Linked DNA regions of Canis lupus familiaris. Each later gene encodes a partner of the first gene's protein in a complex. Links are inferred from orthologs where the notes say so. Each region holds a gene or a part of one and is shown in the gene's direction. Other genes may lie near its edges.

Region 1 (5,010 bases):
TTATATTCCTGTGGTGCCCTTTCTGTGCAAGGACTGGACTGGCGGCAGGTGGGGAAGGCAGGAAAGTGCGCAGAGTTGAGGAGGGCTCTGGCTTAGGCAAGTCCTCATGCCCTGCTCAGTCAGTGTTTCTTGTTTCTTGGCTCACTCAGGCCACCTGGAAGTGTGCTGCTATTGTCCAGTTTGGCTGCAGCTGCACTGGCTTCCAGTCTAGGACCTGAAGAGTCCCAATACCTTGAGGTCCCTGTGGGCAGGACTGCATCTGAGCTCTCTCACCTGGTCCGCGGTGGGGTTCGTGCACTTCTGGGCTGCGGTGGGGGGGTTGCCTTGAGTTCCCTGCCTTGTGGGCCTGCTGCGGGGTAGCTTGTGTTGCCAGAGCAAGGGAGCAGCAGGGGAGAGAGAGGGGAGGGTTGGAGTGAGATCCACAGACACACAGGGAGAGAGAGACGAGCCAGCAAGACCCAGCTCCTGAAACCTGACCTGGCCTTTGCAGATCCCATCACTAGGTCAGGCCTCACTCATGGAGAGGGGATTAGGTGGTTCCCCCTTACCTCCCACCCTGGGAGCCTGCAGGGTGCCCGCAGGCTGTGTCCGCTGTGTCCACTGGACTTGCCCTGTCCTTGGTGCTGGAGGCCCTGTCCTGTGGCTCTGCATTTGAGGGAGGGTCTACATGGGACCCATGGGGTGGAGTGAGGGCCAGGTCCCACTGCAGGTCCCCCCTGAAACGGGAGGTGTTGAGCAGCGTTTGGCATTCTGTGGTATGATTTGCAGTGTTGAGGTTTCTGCCCCGTGGCTGTGGCGTGTATCCATCAGGGAGCCAGGGAGTCTCCTGTGTGGCCCCGTGGGTGCTGTGATTCCTGGGAGTTGGTGTCTCTGTTGGCCTCTGTGGAAGGACTCCACTGCCCTCTTCCACACCCATCACTGCTGGTAGCACTGTGTCTGCCTCCTGCCGGCACTCCCAGCAGCACTCCATGCCCCCTCGGCCCAGACGTGCTTCTGATACTGTGGTTGGGTGCTGGCCACCGCTGCGTGTGCAAAGGGGCCCCTGTAAGGAGTATCACTGGGGGCTGGGGGCAAGGTCAGTAGAGGAGGGTGGTCCCTCTCTCAAGGCCCTTGTAGCTTCCTTCAGGTGCCCCACGTTTTGTGTGACTGTCCCTGAGGAGATCTGTGTGTAGGTTTCTCTTTCTCTGCTGGCTTTTCCACGTTTCCATGTCCTCATTGACTCTCCATCCGTTCATTGGCCCCGTTTGGGTGCTTTCATGCTTCTGTCTTTGAATGACTAGCCTACTGCCTCTTCTAGGAGGTGAAGTTCTGTTGGAGCGTCTTGCCATTTGTTTGAGACTTAACAGTGGCTGCTTGGGTGCCACCACTCAGCCCTTCCCAGCCTCCGTGCCGGGCTGGGGGACCGCTTCGATCTGGACTTGCCATGGGGGTTGTCTGCCCAGGCCTCTGTCCTGCCTTAAGGGGCTTCTGTTCCCCCGTGGGGACTTGTATTCCGTGGTAGGTAACCTGTTTGGAAGTAGAAAGTGTGCAGAGGTGGTGGGAAGCATGGGGCCTGCCCATGGAGGGGGGCAGTGAGGCAGCCCTGGCCTCCCCTCCCACCGGGAGCTGCGCCCTGCTGCCCTGTCACAGGCTTCATCTCCAACGGGCCCTGAGTTCTGGGGCTCTGTCCTGCTTGTCATGCGGGCGCCCAGAGGGAGTCTGTCTCATGGGGTGTGTTTCAGGGAGAGGATGGGGGTAGGGGGCGATGATGGGGTGGGTGGAGGGGGAGGAAGATCCAGGGTGGGCGGCAGGATGAGGCAGGGCCTTGCTGTGGCCCTCGCGCCTTGTGGGGGGTAGAGGGCGCTTGGAGGGACATGGGTGGACTTTCTGAAGCCTGGAGCCTGGTGACTTCTGGCTCGTTCTGTGAATCATCTAAAGTGGTCTTAATCCCCTTTCTGTCTGCCCTTGCAGTTGGCTCAGCTCTCCAGGCGGCTTGGTGACTTTCTGTGGGAGCGGGATCCTCGTTGCCCACATGAGAACATAGCAGCTGGTTTTGTTTTCATGTAGCACAAACATGAAAGGATGAATGCCATGTTTGTAAGAAAAACGGTTAGTTGTGGCACACGAGTGCTTCTGCTTTTGGTTTATGTGTTAACACAAATTTAGCATTTTGGTGTTTTTCTTACTGGAGGGTAGGTTTGCATTTTGAGTATAAAGACTCTGTCCTCACGCTTCTGCTGCTGTCGTGGGCCACTGTACCTGCTGCGCACGGGAGGGGTGCAGCCCTCGTGGGCTGTGCACCTCCAGATGAAGTAGACCTGCACAGCCTGCTGCACTCAAGTGTGTCTCTCCACAGAGAGCGGAATTGGGGGATGCGAGCTGGGTGGGGCCTGGGCTTCGTGTGGAAACTGTGTTGTGCTGTGAGTGTGGGCAGTTGGGCAGGATGAACCAGCACTGGAGCCAGTGTAGGTCATCCGTACAGGGAAGCCAGTTGGCCTCAGGAGTGTCCTGCTTGGTATCGCAGCTGCCAGGCCTCTGCTGCCTGAGTAGTCAGCGGTGATCCTGCCAGCCGGGCACCACAGGGCTCGCTTACTCCCAGGCCATCGCTCCTTGTGGACGCACTCATCAGGTGCTGTTGTCTGAGGTCAGGAAACCTAGATACGTTACTTTGGTCATGGCTGTTTGTCTTTGATAATTGGCAATGAGTGGTCTTACACCAGGAAATTTGTGCCAAATCTGTGTGCTACTGTTAAAGTTTGTTTCAGAAATATATTGAATGACTTCCCAGTTGATGAAAAGAAGCATTTTTTTTCCCTTAGGTTCTGTAGCAAAACGATTGACCACTGTCGTCATTGCTGTGAAACAAAGGACCCCAAAGCTCAGTGGTTAAAATAATAGTAAATGTTTATTCTCCTGCAGGGTTTCTGTGGGTCAGAATTTGGGAGTGGCTGGGTTGCAGTGGAGACACTGCCCGGCTCTGCAGCCACCAGAAAGTGTGTACCCAAAGCACTGGCCTCCACGGCAGCTGTACCCACGGGCCTTGTCACCTCTCCTGGTGACCCACAGTGGGACACAGCATACCATCTCGCCATCTCTGTTCCCACCTCGCCCCCAGGCGAGGACAGGTCTGCCTGATGGTGTGGCGATTTCCTGGAGCCTGACGCCCCAGCCCCAGCAGAGTGCCTGGGGCCCGTGGTTTCCCAGTTCTGTCTCATATGTTGGTCACCATCCCCCAGGCTTGGGGTACAAGCTGTTCTCCACATCACCCGTGAACAAGAGCATTAAAAGTAGTGTTTTTGTTTTTCTCATTTTGTTAGTGAAAAACAAGCTCGCACCTCTTGTGATTCTGACGCATGTTCTGTCTCCAAACAGATCATTTCTGTGTCTGGAAGACTTGCTGTGGGGTAAACTGGTCACCGTCCTGAGTGTGGACAGTGTAGGCGTCCACAGGAGCTGGTTGCCAGCTGCTTAGCTTCTTTCTAGGTCAGATTTGTTGTCCTGTGGTTCTTAGGCTCCGAACTGAAAACCAGGCTTGGGAATAAGACAGGTGTGTCTTTCCTGACCTGGCAGCTCTGGGCAGATGATCCCATCAGAGGCAGTGCATTTCCAGAAATGGCACCTATAGCCTCCAGGCGTTGTCGCACCTGGGGGGCTGCCAGCGTCTGGTGGTGGTGGCCTGTGTGCTGCTGGTCTAACAGTGAAGGGCAAACTGCGTCAGACAGGGTCTTCCCAGCCTGAGATCTGGACTCGTGCTGCTGGGACAGTATGCTCTGGATGTTGCAGCCGCTTTGTGCCTGGCCACTGCCCATCACTGGGCTCTCACGGGACAGAGTGAGGCTGGGCCCGGCCTGCTGCACAGGTGGTGGGTGCACCGCCCATATTAAAATTCCCAGCCCCCCTTTTACACGAGCTCTTTGGGAGTACAAGAGACAGGAATCTGACCGAGCATGAGCACTCAGGGTTCATGTGAGGGTTTTCCTGGTATCACGGAGCAGACCTGATACTTGTGGGGGACCTGTCTCTTGTCCAGTGCTTGTGTGGCTCCTTCATCCTCTGGGCTCTGCAGCTGCCTTCCTTTATGTCTTGTCCGTTGGTTCTCCAGTGGCTCCTCAGCTCTGGGTCCTGACATTGAGACTGGTAGGGACTGGCCTCTTCATCCATTCCCAGACTTTTCCAGAAAAGGTTGTGCTGGTCTCTTCTCGCCCAGGCCGCCCATTGGGTGCTACTGCAGGCAGCCCGTGGTGGGGGAAGATGAAGCCCTTCTGTTCCAGGGAGGACGGGCTGCTCTGACCTATAGCTCGAGTCAGACTGGGTGTTCCCCAGGGGGACTTGGGGCTTCCCAGCTTGGTTCTTGCTTTGGGTTGTGAGGGTTGCTAGGGTTGTGCCACTGCTGTGCCAACCATGAGCGCCATCTCTATGGGACAGGGGTGGCAGCATTCTTGGCATTCCAGTGAACGGCCAGTGAGCGCCAGAGCGGCACGTGCAGTGGCACCAGATCAGGGCAGATGCTGGGTCCCACCAGTCCTACCGGGGTAGACTCGTGAGGGCAGTCAGGCCCTGTTCTCATCGGGTCTTTGTCCAGCGTCCACTCATGCATCTGCTCTGGTGTGAAGGATTGTGGACAGGGCCTTCAGGGCCACATCTATGGGATTGAGGAGCCCTTGGGGCTGTGGGAAGGAGGAGCTGGCAGCGCCGGTGATGTGCCGGGGAGGGGGGTGTCTGGGGCTGTCTGACAGGTGCTGCTGTCATTGTGGGGGCACTGAGTCACTCTCCTGCTATAGCTAGGTCCTCGCTTCAAGGTACTTGGTGTCTTGTGGCTCTGGGGCACTTGGAGCCTGTTTGCTGGGACCAGTCTGTTTTGGGCTCCATCGGCAAGTGGAAAGTCTTCCTCACCCACTTCCTGGCCAGTGATCTTCTAACCCAGCCAGGCCTCAATCTGCCATTGTCCTCCTGGGCACACACACTTGGTCCCTTGGTTTCTTTGGGAAGTTGGGGTTTTGGAGAGTCCAGGAAGCTTTGCTGGGCTCCAAG
Region 2 (4,712 bases), on another chromosome or scaffold:
TGAGCTGAAGGTGGCGCTAAACCACTGAGCCACCAGGGCTGCCCAAGGGGCTGATAATTCAAGGCTGCACCACACGTTTTGGTTATATTGATATACTATTTGTCCTTAAATGTGAACCTGCATTAAAATCACCTGGCGTGGGGGTGGGGGTAGGTAGGGGATTGCTGGTGAAAATACAGATTCCTGGGCACTTACAGATTCTAAATTGGTAAGGCAGGGATTGGCCCAAAGTTAACAAGTACTCAGGTGATTCTGAAGTCAAGTGCCAAAGGACCAAGGACTCCTTTCGGAGAGCTGAGTCTCCTTGCTGCACTCTGGGTAGCCTCAAGCAACAGCCTGTTCCATTCCTAACCTTTCTCAGCACCTGCTTTGGGTCTTACCAGTGTTGAGAGGAGGCCCTGTTGGAGCTCCCAGTCTAGTAGGAGAGGCAGATGGAGAAACTGAGTGTGTGGTCAGTGTTGGGACAGAGGCAGCACTGGGCAATGGAGGAAGTGAGTAATTAGGACTCTGGAGGCTCTCTGGAGGAAGTCATGTATATTCTGGGCTTAGGGATTTGATCCTTGTTTGTGTATTAGCTCCCCCCCCCCCCCCGTGGGTCATCTCCACCAGATGGCAGGCAAGTTCATAGAAATGATCAAGTCTCACGTCTCTGCCCTCAAAGCTGGCACAAGGCCTGGCACAGAGGAGAGGACAATATTGGTCAAATCAGCTGACCTGAGCAATGAGAAATGGCTGATGGAGAGGTCCCAGGGCCTCCGGATTAACTGCATTTTCATGCTCAGCACCCTTACCTCCTCCCTTTGTGAACTCTAACGTGGAGTTAATGGTGGAAATTCCTCCTCATATTCCAAGCATTCGTTACTTCTATTCCTCTCCTTCTCTTTTCACAAGACCGAGCTCTTCAAGGTCTGAACTAAGAATGGGGCACAGAGCAGGCTCTCAAAAACGTTTGTTGAATAAATGGGTGAATAAATGAGTTCAAGCAGAAGCTGTGCATCGGCTATTGAAGAGATTCCAGCTAAAAGGGGGCTTACAGGAAAGCCCCAAGCTGTATTGGGCCAGATGTCCCTCCTCATTTTCTAACAGCCCGCTTCTGCTGGGGCTCCGGGTGAGAGGGACAGGGCAGGTGCAGGATTTGAAAGTAAATGGTATAGATGGGGCAAGTTGAGGATGGGAGCGGCAGCTGGGGCTTTGGAGACAGGCCTGACCATAGAAAAAAGGAAGGGCAGTTTCTAAGTGATTCAGACTAAGGTTGTTGGGGCTACAGGTGGCGGAGTCTAGGGGGTCACGGGAGGTCCGAATACGGTGTGAAGCGCAGAACGGACACTGACCCAAAGGGCTCCACATGCCGGGACCCGGAGTCCGCGGGGCGTCGGGGTGCGAGCCGCGCCACCACGCCCGGGGTAGGGACAGTCCCGGCTGGGGGCGGGGAGTGCGAGAGCTCCTGGCACCGCCCCGACAAAGCCTGCGCGCGCCCGGCCCCGCGATTGGCCGCGCCTCCTCGCGCCGACGCCCCGTCCCGCCCACCGCCGCCGGTCCGGCACGCTGCAGCCAATGGACCCCGTCGCCGTCGCCTACGTCACGGGCCCGACAGCCAATGGTCAGAGCGCTCGGCGGCTCGTGGCTCTTTCGCGGCAAAAAGGATTTGGCGCGTAAAAGTGGCCGGGACTTTGCAGGCAGCGGCGGCCGGGGGCGGAGCGGGATCGAGCCCTCGCCGCGGCCTGCCGCCATGGGCCCGCGCCGCCGCCGCCGCCTGCCACCCGGGCCGCGCGGGCCGTGAGCGCCATGGCCGTGGCCGGGGCCCCCGCAGGCGGCCCATGCGCGCCGGCGCTGGAGGCCCTGCTCGGGGCCGGCGCGCTGCGGCTGCTCGACTCCTCGCAGATCGTCATCATCTCCACGGCGCAGGACGCCAGCGCCCCGCCGGCCCCCGCCGGCCCGGCCGCGCCGGCCGCTGGCCCCCGCGACCCCGACCTGCTGCTCTTCGCCACGCCGCAGGCGCCCCGGCCCACACCCAGCGCGCCGCGCCCTGCGCTCGGCCGCCCGCCGGTACGGACACCAGGGACACAGGGCCGAGTGCACGTCTGGACCCCCGTGCAGACCCGGTCGGGGCGCGGTTTTTGGCCCGGAGGCAACGGGGGCGGGGGGAGGGGGTGGGCCGAGGCTCCCGGGCTGGGCGGGGTCGAGCCTGGGTTGGGCCTCCGGGCCCCGCCCCGGGATGCGGGGTGACCTCGGGCCAGTCGCTGTTTGCTCCTCTGCTCTGGGCCTCGGCTTTCCCCGAGCCGCTCGAGGGTCAGACTCAGTGGTAATAATAGCCCACGTGTATTCAGCTGGTGTTGCCTGCATGCCAGGTCTCTGGCGAACTTCGAGCCAGAACTCACAACCATGCTGTGAGCTCAGTGTTGTCACTGTGCCCATCTGAACGGAGGCCCGGAGAGGGGAAGTGACTTGCCCCCGGTCATACGGCTGCAAGTGGTGGGGCTGGGATTTGAACTGAGGCCTGCTGGCTCCAGACCAGAACTCGTGGCAGGGTAGTGGACAGGGCCCCTTGAGGAGGTCGAGGGGGCTATCCTGGGGCCAGACTGCTGAAAGAGTCATTGAGGAGACCCTCCTTCCTGCCTAGATGCTCCACTGCCAGGTGCAGGCCTGGGCCTCTGGGCCTCTGGGGACAGGCCTCCTGGCTGGGAGGCCTTCTCTGCAGGGGCGGGGTGGCTGGGCCAGCTGCTGATCCCCTCCCTCTGCCTGTCCTTCCATCTGCCACCCTCCACCCTCACAGGCCCTGGTTGCCATGGAGCCTCATTAATCAGGCAGGCAGACCCCTAGGCCCCCAGGGAAGTAATGGGTGGGCTGGGCCTCTGGGAGCTGGAGTGGAGGCCCCCAGTGCCAGGAGAGAGTAAATATTCCAGGGAGATGCCTTGATAAAGTGCTCCCTGAGCAGCAAGAGGCTCAGGAGCAATTTGGACTGGGGGCCCCAGAAAAGATTGCTTAATTACTGGAGAGCAGGGCCTAGAGGCCTGGAGCTTGGACCTGTGAGCTGCAGGACTGGGCGTGGAGACCAGCTTGACTGTCAGGGCCTGTGGGTGAAGGTGGGGCATGGAAGGCTGCTGGCAGGGGGCAGGGGCCAGGCCAGCCAGGCAGGAGGGGGTCTCAGCAGGGGGCCTGGAGCAAGTAGGAGGGGTGAAGCAGAGCCCGGGCAAGGAGGTGGAAGCTATCCAACTGCTTATGGGGGCCTGGGTGGCAGCTGGTCCCTGAGGCATCCCGGCAAGTCTCCCCTAACTCCCTTGGCCCCTCGCCCAGCCTAGCTCTGCCTTCCTTCCGGAATCACCAAGACGCTAATAATAATAACAATAGGAGCCACCATTGTTTTGAGACTGTTTTATATGTCAGGCTGTGTGCCAAGCACTTCACCCAGTTAACTCTCTCAACAACCATCCCCTTTTACAGATAGGGAAGCTGAGACCTAGAGATGATAGGTCATTCAGCTAGTGGAATGGTGGGACCAGTCCAGACTTCCTGAGCTGTTAACTAGTTAGCCACTGGGATGCCTTGCCTCCTAGAAATGTTAATAATACAGGTTGAAGGAAGTTAGGAACCCTTCTGATGGGTAAAGGGAGGAGGATTGTACTAAGGGTGGGTCACCTCTATCCCAGGGGCCTTTTTTCTCTGCAGGTGCCAGCCTGGGGCTTGGACCTGAAAACTGCATTTAGCTGACTGACAAGTACTTAGCCGACCTGGGGCTGTAGAAGCTGAGCTCCAGGCCCAGAGGGCTGCCAGAGACTGGGCTGAGGAAATGTACCCACCCCACCCCCAGCAGTGTCAGGGGCAGCCTTGTGGGCCTGAGCATTCCATCCATTCTACTGTTGAGTTAGTGAACTGCCCAAAAGGTACTAGACAATGGGCAAAGAAGGAGCCTCTGCCCTCACAGCTTTGAAGCACTAGTATCCATTTTCTGCCGGTGGGTGGGGGTGAGGGCTGGCACCACCCCAGAGCTGAAGTCCAGAAACACCCCCTCCAAGACTCTCCACTCTTGTACCTCTGGTCAGCCACTGGCCGATTGAGCTGTGGCCTCCTCTGACCCTCTGCACTGACATTTGTGTGAGGCAGTCTTTGAAACAAGCTACGGGTTCAGCTTCTGCATCAGTGAGCATTCATTGAGCACCTCTAGCATGCAAGACTCTACAACTCAGCCATTCCTCCTGGCACTTCCTGTCCACCTCTATCCTGTTGTCATAGCTGTTAAAAAGCAAATTAAAACATTTACTATAGAAAAAGTTAAGAGGCTAAAAAGTTGAAGGATGCCAACACCATTCATTTTTCCTCCTGTTTTCTTTTCCTAAGCCTGTTTTTTTTTAAAAAAGATGGTTGTGACAGCTTTTTTTTCCCCTTAAATTTTAAAAATTGTAGTTTTTCCTTTGTTTCTATGTTCAAACAGTAGATCATCCCCATTTTATAGATATAGTAACAGTCCCCCCATGGTTGTCCTCCACCCACATACCATACAGAGGTTACCCCTAGAATGGATTCTAGAATATTAGACACTGAACCAGAGAAAAATGTTTCATGTTTTTAATCCAAAAAGGGATCATATAAATGCATTGCCCTCTGATGATATTTTTCTTGTCATTATGTCTTTAAGAGGATTCTGTGTCACCCTTCATTAGTCCTTGACAGCTACGTGGTATTCCAGGGACTGGATGAGCCACACTTTTTGTGGC

Evidence for each region. The genes of interacting proteins can lie anywhere in the genome.
Region 2: the proteins of TFDP1 (region 1) and E2F1 are in contact, whole or in part, in a crystal structure (PDB 2AZE), measured with the Homo sapiens proteins. The link is inferred for Canis lupus familiaris from reciprocal best matches to the Homo sapiens genes TFDP1 and E2F1. Residues at the interface, in NP_009042.1 of Homo sapiens: Glu201, Cys202, Leu205, Glu206, Glu208, Arg209, Arg212, Leu213, Arg215, Ile216, Lys219, Gln220, Gln222, Leu223, Leu226, Ile227, Gln229, Gln230, Phe233, Lys234, Leu236, Val237, Arg239, Asn240, Arg241, Glu244, Pro251, Ser255, Val256, Ile257; in NP_005216.1 of Homo sapiens: Arg202, Leu203, Leu206, Thr207, Asp209, Leu210, Leu213, Gln214, Ser216, Glu217, Leu220, Asp221, Leu223, Met224, Ile226, Cys227, Thr228, Gln230, Leu231, Leu234, Asp239, Ser240, Gln241, Arg242, Leu243, Ala244, Tyr245, Val246, Thr247, Cys248.

What each region holds. Positions count from the first base shown.
Region 1 is NC_049243.1:61,024,662-61,029,671, forward strand, and holds the start of TFDP1 (transcription factor Dp-1), read left to right. Parts: upstream 1-1,979; 5' UTR 1,980-2,061; coding exon 2,062-2,088; intron 2,089-5,010. UniProt on the Homo sapiens protein: Can stimulate E2F-dependent transcription.
Region 2 is NC_049245.1:23,405,582-23,410,293, reverse strand, and holds the start of E2F1 (transcription factor E2F1), read left to right. Parts: upstream 1-1,770; 5' UTR 1,771-1,785; coding exon 1,786-2,046; intron 2,047-4,712. UniProt on the Homo sapiens protein: Transcription activator that binds DNA cooperatively with DP proteins through the E2 recognition site, 5'-TTTC[CG]CGC-3' found in the promoter region of a number of genes whose products are involved in cell cycle regulation or in DNA replication.